2 linked regions of the Ovis aries genome follow. The protein of the gene in region 1 interacts with the protein of each later gene in a pairwise test. Links are inferred from orthologs where the notes say so. Each region holds a gene or a part of one and is shown in the gene's direction. Other genes may lie near its edges.

Evidence for each region. The genes of interacting proteins can lie anywhere in the genome.
Region 2: the proteins of HOMER1 (region 1) and C12H1orf116 interact in binary tests that used the Homo sapiens proteins (3 or more experiments, as listed by UniProt). The link is inferred for Ovis aries from reciprocal best matches to the Homo sapiens genes HOMER1 and C1orf116.

What each region holds. Positions count from the first base shown.
Region 1 is NC_056060.1:10,525,430-10,533,953, reverse strand, and holds the start of HOMER1 (homer protein homolog 1), read left to right. Parts: upstream 1-3,197; 5' UTR 3,198-3,339; coding exon 3,340-3,482; intron 3,483-8,524. UniProt on the Homo sapiens protein: Postsynaptic density scaffolding protein. Binds and cross-links cytoplasmic regions of GRM1, GRM5, ITPR1, DNM3, RYR1, RYR2, SHANK1 and SHANK3.
Region 2 is NC_056065.1:4,645,712-4,652,836, reverse strand, and holds the end of C12H1orf116 (specifically androgen-regulated gene protein), read left to right. Parts: intron 1-1,131; coding exon 1,132-2,642; 3' UTR 2,643-4,223; downstream 4,224-7,125. UniProt on the Homo sapiens protein: Putative androgen-specific receptor.

The sequences.
Region 1 (8,524 bases):
TCACCTCACTTGCTCTTCCTTTCAACTACTTTCCTTCCTTTCCTTTCCTTCTGGTTCCCTTCATTTCGGCTTCAGCCTCAGGCCAGCCAACAGTACCTGGTGAGGTTGTTTGGCCCTACTGAGAGCCAGCACTGAGCTAGGTTTTCAGCTCCCTGATGCAAAACACACTGATCTCATTACCTGCAGACTGTCCACTCATCACTTCTGCAGCTGCTTCTGTGGTTCCGTCTCCACCCCCGCCAGCCTGGCTGCCCTCCACAGCTGGTGCTCCAACAGAGCTGGCCCCCAAGGTGGAAAGCTTTGGCCCTCAGAATTCCTGTGGAATATGTACTGTCGTAGCATCTTAGGATGCTCTCAGGAGTGTTCATCATCTGGCCCCTGGTCTCTTCCCCACGTCACTTTCCTCGACCACCACAATACCTCCCGTTACCCCCCCATACACACACACACACACACACACACACACACACACACACTTCCCCTTACATCTTCACATCTCCCTAGACATGCCTGTCTGTTTCTTTAAATCAGAAAGTTCCTCTCTCATTCTTCAGGCCCCTAACTCAATTGTTGCTCCTAAGAAGCCTTCTCTAACCGCCTTGATTACAGTGATGTGCTCACTGTATCCAATAGCTTATGTGTTTATGCTCCTGACTCTCCTTTAGACTAGAGGCAGAGTCTGGATCTTTATCTTCCACACAGAATAGCTTCTCAAGAAATGTTGGGTGGGAGAAAGACGGAATCGACTCATAGACTATGGATGGCAAACTTCAGCAAATTTGTGGACCACATCCGGCCCATTGTTTGTTTTTTTTAACAGCAATTTTACTGAAACACAGCCACATTTTTTGGTGTATGGATTGTATAAATCACCCATTTGTGTGTATGTGTAAAGTTTTATTGAAACATAGCCAAGCTTACATGTATTGTCTTGTGGTTGCTTTAGTGTTGCTAGGGTGGACTTGAGCACTTGCAAAAGAAACCATATAGTCCCCAGAGCCTCACATGTTTACTATTTGGCCTTTCGCAAACAACAACAGAAAAACCGTGCTGACTCCTGATCTAAAAACCGCCTGAGAGATCTCCTATTGTAGTGTGCCCAGTAGAAAGATAAAGGAAACCACATAGGTAATTTTAAATTTCCTAGTAACTACGTTTTAAACAGGAAAAGAAACAGACAAAAATAATTTTAGTAATACATCTCATTTAATCCCAAATATTAAAAATATTAGTATTCAACATGTCATTAATGTAAAAGTGATATTATGAGATATTTTACATTTTATAGTACTAAGTCTTTGAAATTATACAGATATTTTATACTTACAGATAATTTTAATTTGAACTTGTGCTCAGTAACCACATCTGTAAATAATGACTATCTTACTGGACCAAATCCATCAGTTTATAGTTGAAGAAATTGGTCCAGAGAAGTTACTAGTTTAAAGTCACGTAGTGGAAGAATCAGCTAACCCCCAGCTCTCCTTGTTCCTAGGCAGGTGGTCCTTCTGCACCATATTGCTTTCAGTCTTGTTGTTTGTTTACTAGAAGAGCTATGATAAGATGATCTCGTTCCTAATTTGGTACAAGCTTTAATAAGTCGTGTGACTATAGGATAGTTCTTAACTTCCCAGGGTTTTCATTTCCTCATCTCTAAAAGCCTTGGACGGAGTGATCTTTTAAGCTCTAATTTTACGTGATCGTCAAACATGTGGGTCTGAAAATCAGAATACACTGCAGTCATTTTGCCCAAGAATTCTGTTTCTAAGAAGCTGTACCCAGCTATGAACTCAAGACCATGTAGGTTGTCACTGTAACTTAAAGTCTTTAGAGGCCAGGATTTTAGATAATTCATCCATACAAATTTACCTGTCAGTAACGAGAAACAAGCCTAAAGCCTGATACACTTGACACAGAGTCCCTCACAACAATGTTATGTTCTCAGGAAATTTTGGAGATGAGCCAAGAAGGCTGTTGCTGAGCATTGAAAAATCGAAGAAGGGACTGGTGTTAAGGCCCATCTGGGGTGGCAGGAAGATTGCCTTTCTCTGCTAACCAGCACCAGAGTCTGTCACCAGTGACAGGAGGGAAGGGCAGTAAGGAATCTGGTATAAAACACACGAGAAATTAGAGACTTGTGATCATGATTAGAAAATCAAATATTATTTTGCAATACCAAACTTTATAACAGAATCAACAGTATTAAATTTGCACTCCAAATCAGAAAAGAAACAAAACAGTGTAGGAGAAAGCTTTAGAAATGGAAGCAGACAGGAACCAAAGAGAAATAGATCTTTTTTTATACGTTTGCCTAAAACCAGTGGTGTTTGCTTTTAAACTTACTCACATCTTGTCCTTCGCTCACAATAGAAAAATCTTTCTTTCCTTCCAGAGATTGGAGAAGATTGCAGTAAAGGGCAAAATGTATGTGTGTCCTCTGGGATTAGACAGTGGAGACGATTGTAGTAGAGGGCAAAAGGTATGTGTGTCCTTTCGGGTTAGATCCTCCATTCAAAAATGACGGGACCTTAAAAATTATATGGCCTTCGCAACAAGTTTGTGCCTTAATTTCCTCCTCTGTAAAATAGGTATAACAATGGTGCTTTTTACGTGGGACTGAAGACTAAATGAGGCAATATGGAAAAAGGTTTTAGCAAAATGAGTATCATATATCAAGTGCTCAGTTAATCTTAGCTACTATTCTCATTCTGACAATAGCATTCAAGAAGCAGAAAGGAGCTACCAGTGTGCTATGCTACGCCTGCAAGTGGCTGTTGGTGACTCCTGGCTGCTCTGCCACGTTTCTCTCACACACACACATGTATAGGCTGCGCCGGGTATTCGTTGCTACCTGTGGCTTCCTCTAGTTGCAGGGAGTAGGGGCTACTCTTTGTCTTGCTGTGGAGTAAGGACTCTAGAGGGTGCAGGCTCAGTAGCTGCAAGACACCGGCTTCTCTAACTGCCTGAAGCAGGCTTAGTTGCCCCGTGGCTTGTGGGATCTTAGTTCCCCAATCAGGGATCGAACTTCGTCCCCTGCATCGGAAGGCCAATTCTTAACTATTAGACCACCGGGGAAGTCCCTTGTCCGTATTAAATTGTGTGCAGAGATAATGATGTAGTCTGGCAGTCCCACTGAGGTCTGTGTTATTAATGTGTCAAGGTCAGTGACAGGGCAGGACACAGTGCCCGGAAATCTCACTGGGCATTTTGCTTTCGTTACCTGCTAGGTACTCTTGCCTGGAAACTCCCATGGTCGGGGGGGAGCCTGCTGGGCTGCAGTCCATGGGGTTGCACAGAGTCAGACATGACTGAGCGACTTCACTTTCACTTTTCACTTTCATGCATTGGAGAAAGAAATGGCGACCCACTCCAGTGTTCTTGCCTGGAGAATCCCAGGGACGGGGAAGGGCTGCCGTCTATGGGATCGCACAGAGTCGAACACGACTGAAGCGACTTAGCAGCAGCAGCAGCAGCAGCAGCAGGTAAGTTTGTCAGAATTCTAATGCTGAGTTTTGCTTCTTTATGGCAGAGTTTCATTTTGATATGCTTGTGCTTTATTAGCTGACTTTAGAACGGTTTGGTTAATCTTCCTTCTCTCTGGTGGGAGGAAAATATATATATGGTGTGTGTGTGTGAGAGTTTAAGTGGCTTCAGGCTTACTTCCCATATTGGGAAACTTGCCCTCAGTACCAAGAGAGTCTATGAAACAGTCCTTCAGCATTTGTGCAGCAAGCAGAAAAGAGGTGGATTCCCTTCCCAGCTGACTCATTGATCATGGTTTCTGCTGAATGGATTCAACTCAACAAATTTGGAATCACTGGTCAGAGACCAAGGTGAAAGTCCTGGGTGTTCTTTCCTGGGACTTTTATCAAGGAAAATTCAGCCCCTTAGATAGAATAGCAGGTTGGTTTTGAACCAGTCATCAGCGACAGTAATTATCATCCCTGTTTTACTAAACTGAGGGGTCATGAGGTTAAGTAACTTCCCACACACACGTTACTCACACAGCAAGTCAAAGGCAGAGCCTGAGATCAAACTTTGGCAGTCTGGCACCTGAGTCTGTGCCTTTATTTCCCTCTTCCACCTGTCTGCAAGTTAGGAGGTGCCTTTTTATTTTGACCAACTTTTTCGATAGAACTTTCAAATATGCAGATTTAAAAGTCTCTTTTGTTGAATCAAAATGACTTACAATAATTGATTTTAATGCTAAGGTGATTTGTACTCGTAAAAATTTTTTGATTTATTATTAGTTCCTTCAAAATTATTATAGAATTATAATATATTTTATTTCGTGACTGAACAATGAGACAGATGGTAGGAGGCACCCTTTTCCGCCCCTTATCTTCCCGTTGTGCTCCTAGTCATCCCTAAAAACCCAGGCGTCCACTACTTCCTCTGCTACTCCTGCAACAATACAGGCACTCATAACTGCACTCATCACTCTGCGTTGCGATTATTTGAGTATCTTTTATGACCCCTGCTCAGCAGGACAGGATCGATATTTTTCTTCATGTGAGCACTTGTGTAATAAAGTCAACAAAGAACAAATGTTCACTGAACTGTATTTGAGGAAAACATTTCAATAGCTTTCTTTTATGTGAAGTGCCTTTTTTGGCTGATCAGGAAATTTTAATATGAGGGAAATTTCTGGAATTACATGAACACTAATTTTCTTATAAAATTTCTCTTGTTTGAAACACCGAGTGTGAAAAAATGTAGAGTAACTTACCTGCGTTTATTCTAAAGAACTGTAGTCTTTGCATCATGGCATATTTGTAACCCATTCTTCGAACACTAATAACCTTGTGGCTATTCATGCTTATTTACTGTTCACTCTAAAATCTTTTTGACTCAAAGTTTTTAAGAGTTACATGGGATCAACTCGAAATCAACAAATGTATCCTTGCTTTTTTATTTTGCTTTCTACACACTGTCATCCCTCATTATAATTCTATGAAGTGAATGTCACTGTACACAGTATAAAATGTTTTGCATATATGTAAACACCAGAACCTAGGAGTGCTGTGTCGTAGCACAATTATACAAGTAGAAGCAAATACATTTATGCAACATAATGTAAACAGTTCACTGTTTTTTTGCAAGAATAAAAGCAAAATAATTATGTTGAATAGTCTTTAATTAAAATTAGTTGAAAACAAGTATAGCTCTATTATATTATGTTGTAACTCACCTAGCAGTCAATTTCTTCAGCTTTTCAAATCCACCAATGTATGTAATTTTAGCTGTTAAAAGTGTTACTTATTTAGCTTGAATTAAAGCAAAACTTAAGCTTATGCTATCTATTGACTGGTTTCTTAAGTAACTGTATTTTAAATTAAAGTTTGAAGTTTATTTATGCCATTCTCAAATGATTAGATGTGATTTCATATGTTTAAATTATAAACATATTGGTGTTTACAATATTCTTTATTATAAGCAGTATGGATCCTGGATCTCAGATTTCCTAGGAGGCTTCTAGGAACTTGTGGTAAATACTTACTAGAGGATATGAGCTTTCATTTTCTATTTTAATCTTTATTCTTTTAGAAAGAGATATTATTTAATTCTCCTATATTTACATTTTCATATGATATTGCAGAAGAGACAGTGAATTTATGGAACCTAACTTCCAAATTCCAAAAGACATTTTATATTGTGAATCTTTGCCTATAATGAAAGTCTATTGAACCAGCTGAAGCAGTCACAGGATACCGAAAGAACAATTTCCTCTCTTATACTACATTTATAACTAGTTTTGAAGATTTCAAAGAGACAATCTAGAACCAAACTATTTTTGCAAATAGTCTTGAAGAAATTTTTCTCTCATGTGCATGCTTTCATGTGTAAAAGGAAACCATAACTTTTGTGAAATCATCTTGCTTTTCAAATGTATGTTTGTGTTTAAGTGTGTGGCTTGCCCAGTTTAAAAACCACAAGGGGAAAATTATTTAATGGCGTGCAACCACACAGACTTCACAGACTGAGATTTTCTTGTTTTGTGTGTCTGCATGAGATTTGTTTTGCATACTGCTAAATATCCAGAAAAATTTTAATAGCAATTATGGTTTTCTCTATATTCAGCCATCATCCAGGCATTTTAACAGGTGTGGGAATGGACAAACGAAGGAAATGTAATCTTTCATCTCTGAAGTGCCTGAATCTTTCAAATGCCTCCCCTGGCAAGCAGTTCACACTCTTGGTGCTTTGCTCCAGCAAACAGCAAAGCTAACTTTGGTCACTACCAGCGCTTCCTTTTGTGCAAGTCCAAGTTGACCCTGTTCGACTTATGTTCCAGCCATTTGTGCCGGTTTCTCTCTGGGGCTTAGAGTGCATTCAACAGACATGCGGGCCTTTGATTTATTGGTCACAAACAAAACCTAAAACTCTTCCAAGAGGATAAAACTCATCTTTGTTTCAGCTTATGTTAGCAGGAAAAGATGTTTTAGACTGATGGAGACTTTGGAGCTTATTTTGAACTTACTGCCTGGTGCCTTCAAGCAGTGGGATCAATATTTTGAGACTTTTTTTTCGAAGCCCCATAATTCCGAATTGGTCTCAACAAGTGGAATTAAACTCTATTTGGCGTTAGCAATTCAAACCTTCAATATTTCTTTCAATATATGATTCAAAGTCAATCATACCTGCTCATCAATGTATTTAGGTTTTGTTTGATGCACAGGCGTTTCAGTCATTTGTAAAAGCCTTGACTGCTTATGCTCAGGAAAAGAGAGTAAGCTCATTATAAAAAGAAGTCCAAACGTTATGACATTGTTTGTAGAAAGTCAAGCTCTTGGACTATGGAGAGCCATTATTAACAGAGGAGTAGCAGGTATTCCGCCAGAATGGTTTCCTGTTTACTAGCATGTATTATGGTACAGAGACTTTTCCCCGGTAATCCCTTGACAATTATATAGCTCTTGAAACATACTAAGCATACAATACGCACTGCTTTGCACATTATGTTTCTTATTAATAGCTCCTGGATATCTTTCCATGTTAGTACTTACAAAGTCTACTTCATTCTTTTCTTCGGCATTCCACGATACGAATGTCCGGCAACTCACTCAAACAAATCCATAATGATGGACACAGGGGTTTCCAGCTTGGTTTTGTTTGTTTGGTTATTTTGCCACACCAGTGTCGCAGTGAATATCCTTTTAAACATATCTGTATACATTCAGAACACAGTATTTTAAGGCATTACAAAGAGATAAATAATTTTATTTTCATGCATGTATTTCATTCTGGTGGGCACTTCAGATTACTGTTATCAGTATACCAAACTTGTAATAAATAACATTTCAAAAATGTAATTCAGTATATTTAGTTCCAAAGAATAAGCATATTTTCTAAAATTTGAAAATATTGACCTATGAGTGACCTTCCAATACATTCTTTTATGTTTCATTGAATTATCATTCAATAATAATAATAATAATGTTCAATAATAATAATGTTTTCTTGAGCATTTTATAACTTCATTACAAACCACCTTCACATGATTATCTCATCTGATTTCACATCAATGTGATGTGCGCAGCACAGGTTTATAGGAGGAAATGGTGCAGACCTGGAATTTTTCACTGCCTGAAATAGTCATATAGTGTCAGTCCTTTGTTCTGGTAGCTCAAGGAATCAAGGCCACTGTCATTATAAGTTATATCATAGTGTTAGTCACTCAGTCATGTCTGACTCTTTGCAATCCCATGGACTGCAATTCCACCAGGCTCCTCTGTCCACGGGATTCTCCAGGCAAGAATACTGGAGTGGGTTGCCAAGATCCAGGGGATCTTCCTGACCCAGGGAAGGAACACAGGTGTCCTGCATTGCAGGCAGATTCTTTCCCATCTGAGCCACCAGGAAATACTGTTACCTTAATGTGAAAAAATACTTACGTATCACTTCAATAACTGGTGTTGCTAATTTACCATCGAGTGTTCAGGCATTTTTATTTAATTGTCTGATATTCAGAGATTAGACTCACCAGGCGTTGATTAGCGAAGTGCTCCAATAATTGCTACTCCAAAACCAAGAATTTAAAAGACATTTATGCAGCCGTTGTTAAAGATGGATGAGTCTCAGTGCTGCTGCACCTCATTTGAAATTGGGAGAGCTGAGAGTAAAGGGAGAAAAGGGAAGCCTGCAGAATGCAGCAGCAATCAGACAGTGTTACTGAAACTTGGAAATTCTATTCTCCACTGATTCTCACTTCTGTATGTTTACGACCCTTCCTTTATCCAGTATCTGTCAGGATGGGCTGGCAGTAAATGGTGGCACTTTTCTGGTTTCCCACACTCCTCGGGGAGCAGGCTCCTCTGCAGGGAAAGGAAGTCATTGCTATGTTGCCTCCAGCTTTGGGAAAGGAAGCAATCTTGAATGGCTATTGTTGCATTAGCTACAAATGTATGTGGCCTCATTAGTGGATCTATCCCCACCCTTAACGTAGCTGAGAATGTACTTGTGAACTTCCTCTCTTCCTACATCTACTTAACATGAGCAGGACCTCAAAAGCGGCTTCCAGGTC
Region 2 (7,125 bases), on another chromosome or scaffold:
CAAAAAAATACTACATCTTTCTGGCCGCTTTCCCTCTTGTCTGCCCTCTGCTCTGAGTCATGGGCAGAAGAAGGAATAAGCACTCTCCTCTCTACTTGGGGCTAGAATAAAGCCTTGTCCTTGGAGGGAAGGAGGGATTGTCCAAGACAGCTTCTTGTGTCTTTGTATGAAGTATCAAAGTCTGGGAGGGAAGGGGATTTGACCGGCTCCCACTCTTATGGAGACATTCTAAAGCCATATGACCACCGAGGTGGGAGAGAGAAGCAGTGAGGGGTGGGTGGGTGGCTCTGGAAAACCTGAGTCAGTCTGGGGAGCTAATCTGGGTGACCCAGAGGATGAGGCTGCAGGAGATAAGCAGAGGGAGGGGCTCCCTTAATTTCAGTGGGTGGCACCTTGAGGGCCTTGTAAGAGAGTGTGGAATGACGTTGTGGCTCAGTAGATGGAGACACAGATGGCATGTAAGTGTGGCCATAGATCCCAGGAAGACAGTCCCATTGGTATTAGGACTGCCATCACCTCATACACTTGGGAAATATTTATTGACAATATGTTAGACCCACTGTCTCTGGTGATACAGCAGGCTGATTTCCTGGCCCAGTGGGCCTGGTGCTTATGCTTACTCACTGGAAGGGAAGAGCCCGTATCACTCTGTGGCGCAGGGACAGCTGTGGCCATTACAGAGTCATCCAGGTGTTTACAGGAAGTGGAGGTGGAAGAAGGCAGATGCCTGGTGGGGCGAGAGCAAATCACCTGTTGATGCTGTTCAAGCTCAGTGCTTCCACTGGACTCAGTTACCTGGGAGCCCCAGGACAGCGGGAGGGACTGTCCTGAATCCCAACCATCCTGTATCTGCAGAGGTTAGGAAGAGCCTGAGTCAGGGACACAGAGCTGTCTGGGCTGCCCTTTGCCCAGCCACCAGGAAATGCTAATCCCTGGTTGAAGGAAATCTGCTAGGATTGATCTGTTGTCTAAATGATATCCAGACAAAAGCATTGTCCTTCAAGAACAAACAAGCAGACAAAACCCGTCCATTGCGACCTGGAGATCAGAGTGTGGGAAGTGTTTCCTTTCCCCTTGACAGCAGGGTTCTCACTGCCTACTCTTCTTCACCTGTTCCCCTGACTCTTACAGGACATCCCAAGGAGACAACTGGCCAAGGACCAGAGCCAAAAAGAGTGACTCCGTTCAGCTCAGCTCATCCACCCGGGCCCCAAAGCCTGAGCCTCAGGTCTGGCTCCTATAGCCTCCCCAGAAATATCCACATCGGCAGAAACCAGAACCTCAGAAAAAGCACCACCCCGACTAACAGCCATAATCCAGGGGGATCCGAGGGACTTCTCTCGGCACCTGAGACAGAGCAGGTCAGCCAGAGCCGTGAGCCCAGCCAGGCACTGGCCGCGCCCCCAGACGCTGCCCTTGAGCTGGACGGAGCGCTCATCCCCCCACCGGAGGCTTTCCAGGACATCCAGCCCGAGCAGCGTGGGCAAGGCAGCCTGCCCAGAGGACCAGGGGAGCTGAGCCCCAGGCCCCAGGTCCACCCATCACTTAGCTCCCAGAGAAACAGGAAGCCCGCTCCAGAGGCCATGTCCCAAAAAGCCAGTGAGAAAGGTTCAACCGGGGAACCTGCGCCACCTCGGCCTCTTCCCCTGGTGTCCTCTCAGGATGCAGGCACTGGAGATGCGGCCGTCCTGTCAGGGGGCCATCCAAGTGCCCAGCCGGCCCCCCTCACGGCCCCTAAGCCCCGGAAACTGCCACCAAACATTGTCCTGAAGAGCAGCCGAGGCAGTTTCCACAGTGACCCCCGGAACCGGCTGTCCTGCCACTTGGAGGCTGCACCCGGGGACCCCAGCCCCGCCTCGTCCTCGCTGCAGGAGCAGAGGAAGGCACGCAGGGAAGCGCTGGAGAAGCTGGGGCTGCCGCAGGACCAGGAGGAGCCCAGCCTCCGCTTAAGCAGACCCTCCATTAGGCTCAAGGAGACTGGCACTCAGGCCGAGTCCCCGGCCCCAGCTCAGGTCCCCGGAAGGGCCCCGGCCCCTGCACCCAAGCAGGGCCCTTCTCCCGGGAAAGCACCAGCTCTGGCCCAACCGCCTTCTCCAGGCAAGGTTCTGGTTCCCACCCAGGAACCCACTCCAGGGACAGCGCCAGCTGCCAAATCCATGCCAATTCCTGTCCCAAAGGGCCCGCGGGCACACAGTCCCCTGACTCAGCAAAAGCCAGACTCCGGGCTGACCCTCCAGGAGAGTGGCGTCCCTGGCCTCAGACAGATGAGCTTCAAGTCCAACACCCTGGAGCGGTCAGGCATTGGGCTGAGCAGCTACCTCTCAGCCGAGAAGGCTCCCAGCCCCCAAACCAGCACCTCTCTGGAAAAAGGCTCCTACCTGGACCGGATCTCGCCCAGCATCTTGCGTAATTCCCGGCCACGCCCGGCCTCCTTGGGCACTGGGAAGGACTTTGAGGGTATCCAGGTGGGCAAGCTGGCTGACCTGGAGCAGGAGGGGGCCCCCAAGCGCCTGTCTTACCAGGGGCAGAGCCGAGACAAGCTGCCCCGGCCCCCCTGTGTCAGTGTCAGGATCTCCCCAAAGGGAGTGTCAGATGAACACAGAAGGGAGGCGCTGAAGAAGCTGGGCCTGCTGAAGGAGTAGGCCGCTGGCCACCAGCCCCACCCGCACAGCCCCTCCCCGCACCCCACTGCTCAGGCTGGGACCCAGAGCGTGACTCAGGAGCTGCACGGGGTCAGCTCCTCTCCAGTGGTCTCCTCTCGCTGGGGGAGAGACTGGACCACACATTTATATTCAGAGCACCTGTGCCAATGAAAGTGAAGCCGCTCAGTCATGTCTGACTCTTTGCAACCCCGTGGACTGCACCCCGGAGGAGACTACAGGCTCCTCCGTCCATGGGATTCTCCAGGCAAGAGTACTGGAGTGGGTTACCATTGCCTTCTCCAGGGGATCTTCCTGACCCAGGGATTGAACCTGGGTCTCCTGCATTGCAGTACCTGTGCAAATGGCTGTGTGTGTGTGTGTGTGTGTGTGTGTGTGTGCGCGCGCACGTATTATAGGCTGTATATATCACTGATGCTATTTATATGACACAAGGAGTCATTGCTCAGAATTCTGCTCTGGTTGAAAATTTTCTTATGTCGGGTAGAGTTCAGCCTAGAACTGAGTGGAGAGGCATGGCTGAGCCTGAGAAAAATAGTCAAATGAGACAGTAGATGTACCTGTGACATTAGGCAAATGCAGGGTCACGTGAAATGTGGTGCCCCTAGAATCCCTGCAGTGGATGGAGACTGGCTCAGCCCTTGCTGGAGTCCCCTCTCGCTTCAGGCCTTCTGGACAGGGGCCCACAGCCAAGGAGTCTGTTTGTGGCCCTCTCTCACTGTCCTTAGTCCCAAGGATCAGACACATCCTGACACTCTTGTTGGTCTGTGGAGGCGGGATGAATGTCTGCACATCACACTTCCCCTGGGAAGGGTCTTGTCCTTGGGCTTGTTAAACTCAGTAATAAACTTCGACAGGCCCTGACTCCGAGATCCCTGTTTTTCCTGCTCTGGATCTCCCATCTGCACAGCACTGAAGCCAGGGCTGGGTCAACAGTGAGTTAGGAACTCAAGCCTAGAGACATTGTAAATACCGAGAAACTCTTGAAAGCCTTTGTCTACATGATTGCAAGTTATTTTTTGATTTCCTCAATTCCTATGGAAAATCAGCACATTACATTCTCTGCTAATTATTTATTTATAGACTGTCAGAGCTGGGAGGGCCATAGAGACACTCTAGTCCAATCCTTTTAGGGAAGGGAAGTGGCTCATCATGGTCACTGTGCCATTAGTGACAGAGCTGAGATCAGAGCTGGGCTCCCATTTCCGCCCACACTGCAGACCTCTCCCCTCCCCTTGTCCATCCACACAGCACCCTCAGGACCGGCAGTCACCAGCAGAAGTCTAACCTGAAAGGTCTCTAAGCTCTAAAGTGTATTCTGAAACAGCAGAGATTAAATGTTCAGGATCATATTTAGTATTGTGGCTTCTTCTTTAATTTGGGAAAGTAGCCGTCTAATGACTCATATTAATCCCAAATTCCCTGACCAAGTCGTGCAACTTGCAAATACGCCAGAGGGTACTGTGGGTAGGCGGTGCGGGCTTACGAATACAAGCTTGAAGATCGGACATAGCTGGACATAGCCCCTGCTTCCCCTTAGGAAATAAATACTGTTGAGAGACATGGCCTGGTTGGAGTTCACGATGCCCAAATATGGGGGGCGGATAAAGGGAAGCGGGTTGAAAATGTACGCTGTAGGTCTGCTGAGCATTTCTGGACCATGTCCTTAAGGACCCAACGCATCAAGGCTCAGTGTTTCTGAAAATGCTGAGAGAGTTAAGGTAAGGACAACAAAGGACTGCGCCCTGCTCTGGCATGTCGGGTGTGGGTGCATGTGAGGTGTGGCTGTGACAGTTTCTGTGTACACTCCACACACACAGACACACACCCAAAAGCCTACCACCTTGCTCCTGGCCCTGGGTGAGAACCAGGCCTGTCACAGCCAACGGGGTCTCCCATGACGAGCTCAGTCACGTATTATCTCAGAACCTCCCCACCCCAGCCTTCAAGAAAGAAGGCCTTTCCTGCATGGTCCACCACAATGCATTGGGTTGAACTGCTTCTTAAGATGCAACCTGATGAAAGCTCACTTTATTTTTTATTAATTTCTGTGATAAACAGGGAAGCTTGGGGCTAGCTCTAAAGTATGACTTGGTAGGAACCTGGGGCCCTGGCACCAACACAAGGTTGACTAACATAGGTTGGTCAGGGGCACCTCCTATTAAATCCCACTTCCTGGGGAGGGCAGCTTCACTCCCAGACACAGCAGAGTTACACAGCCTACTCTCCTGTTCTGTATTCTCATCCTGCCCAGTTCCCCAAATCTCCCAGTTTGAGATTCCCCTACTCCCCTCCCTGTGGAGAACCATGCTTTCCCATGTCCTCGGCCTTCAGAGAGAATGTTTTGCTCTAAGGATGGTCTTTGGGATTCAAGGATTGCATAATGATTGGGTGATAAATAATATCCAATAAATAATTGGATAATAAATCCAAAGCCAGTTGTTCTCATTTTGAAGAAAGTTGAGGGGACTCAGAGAGGACATCCACCATCCTGAATTGTATCCATCTTCTTGTTCCAAATAGGATTGCTCTTCATTCAGCTTGAACTGATTGAGGAAGAGCTGGAAGTGGGGTCAGGGTCATTCTTATCCCTTTTTGAAGGATTTTGGGCAGAAGTTTGTAACGGCTATTCATTTGATTTTAAAAGCCACAGTGACAACTTTGTTTCCACGTGGCCTTATTTCTCCGCTATACCCTGCCTGGTGCAGTCTTACCAAAAACAGATCATCTGCCAGACAGAGGAGCTGGCCCCTCCTCAGCCCAGCACAGTGGGGTGGGCCCTCCTCAGCCCAGGACAGTGGGGTGGGCCCTCCTCAGCCCAGCACAGTGGGGTGGGCCCTCCTCAGCCCAGCACAGTGGGGTGGGCCCTCCTCAGCCCAGCACAGTGGGGTGGCCCCTCCTCAGCCCAGCAGAGTGGATTCTGTGCCCTCAGGTGTATTGGCAGCTACCCCTCTGAATCACGGCTCGTGTGCCGCCCGGGCATTCTTCAGGCACACACACTGTCCTACACACAGGCCAAGGGATGGGCCCAGGCAGCTCTCAGATGGCCCCCTCCAGAGTGGAATGTGTGGTCTGGCAGATGCCACCCTGGGGGTGAATGGGTATGCAAAAGTCAGTGTTCATCCCATGGAAGAAGGGCAAGGGAAAGACTGCGTAACAGGCCCAACTTGATGTTATGAGTTAGAGCTGACAGTAAAGATTCAAATATGTGTAAATACGTGAGATGAACCCCTTCATCCTTGGCAGAAGGCAAAGCTGTAGGTTCATAAACTAGAGGAGGAGACCAGGGAGATGCTCAGGAGAAAGCATGACCACCTCAATTAGAATCTAGGGAGGCAGGTAGACACCGTGGCCCCATGATCTCCATGCGAGTGATTCTGGAGCATATACAGCGGGGCTCCATCCACCTCCATCACTTACCAGTCAGGGTACCATGGGGGTGACACTTTAATTTTTGAACATCAGAGCTCTCATCTGCAAGGCAGGAGTAATAATCCTTTCCAGATGGCTGAGATGAACAAACTATATGAAATATCAAAGCTCAGTGCTGGACATAGTGTAGATATCCAATACGTGATAGTAATATCCCTTCTCAAAGGGAGCAAATGTATACAGGGCTGGAAGCCAAGATCTCACGCAGCCCAGCTCTGAAGAAATCAGAGAGATCTTGCTGCAAATAAAAGTCCAAAGAAACAGGTAGGTTTTGGCAGACACTCCAAGTGACTCTTTACCCACACCATGGTTCCCAGAATTTGAAAACAAAGAATCAAGAGTGAATCGGCGTTTCTGTCTTGGTGAAAGCTGAACTAGTTATTTCCAGCTTCTCTATCCCCAAACCCAGCTTCCCATTTATCATCAATCTCTTGTTGTTCATGACCATATAGTTTACTTCTTTATGCTTTCTTCAACTTCCTTTTGCTGTGGTTCAGGGGAAAAATACAAATGCTGCTCTATGTGTGTGTGCGGTATGCTTAGTCAATCAGTTATGTCTGACTCTTGTGACCCCATAGACTATAGCCCGCCAGGCTCCTCTGTCTATGGGATTCTCCAGGCAAGAGTACTGGAGTGGGTTGCCATTTCCTTCTCCAGGGGATCTTCCCAACCCAGGAATTGAACCCCTGGTTGATTGCAGGCACACTCTTTACCAACTGAGCTACGAAGGAAGCCTCGTGCTATTCTCTAGTTATTTGTTGGATTTTTTAATGGAGGAAAAGAACACATAAAAGAAGGGAACTCTGGCTAAAATCCAGGAAAAGGTCTTCCCTGGTGATTCAGTGGTTCAGAATCTGCCTGCATATGCGTGGGATACAGGGTTAATCCCTGGTCCGGGAAGATTTCGCATGCCAAGGGACACCTAAGTCCGTGGACCACAATTACTGAGCCTGCGCTCTGGAAGCCCTTGGGCTCTAGAGCCACAGTTACTGAGCCTGCCTGCTACAACTACGGGAGCCCAAGTGCCTAGAGC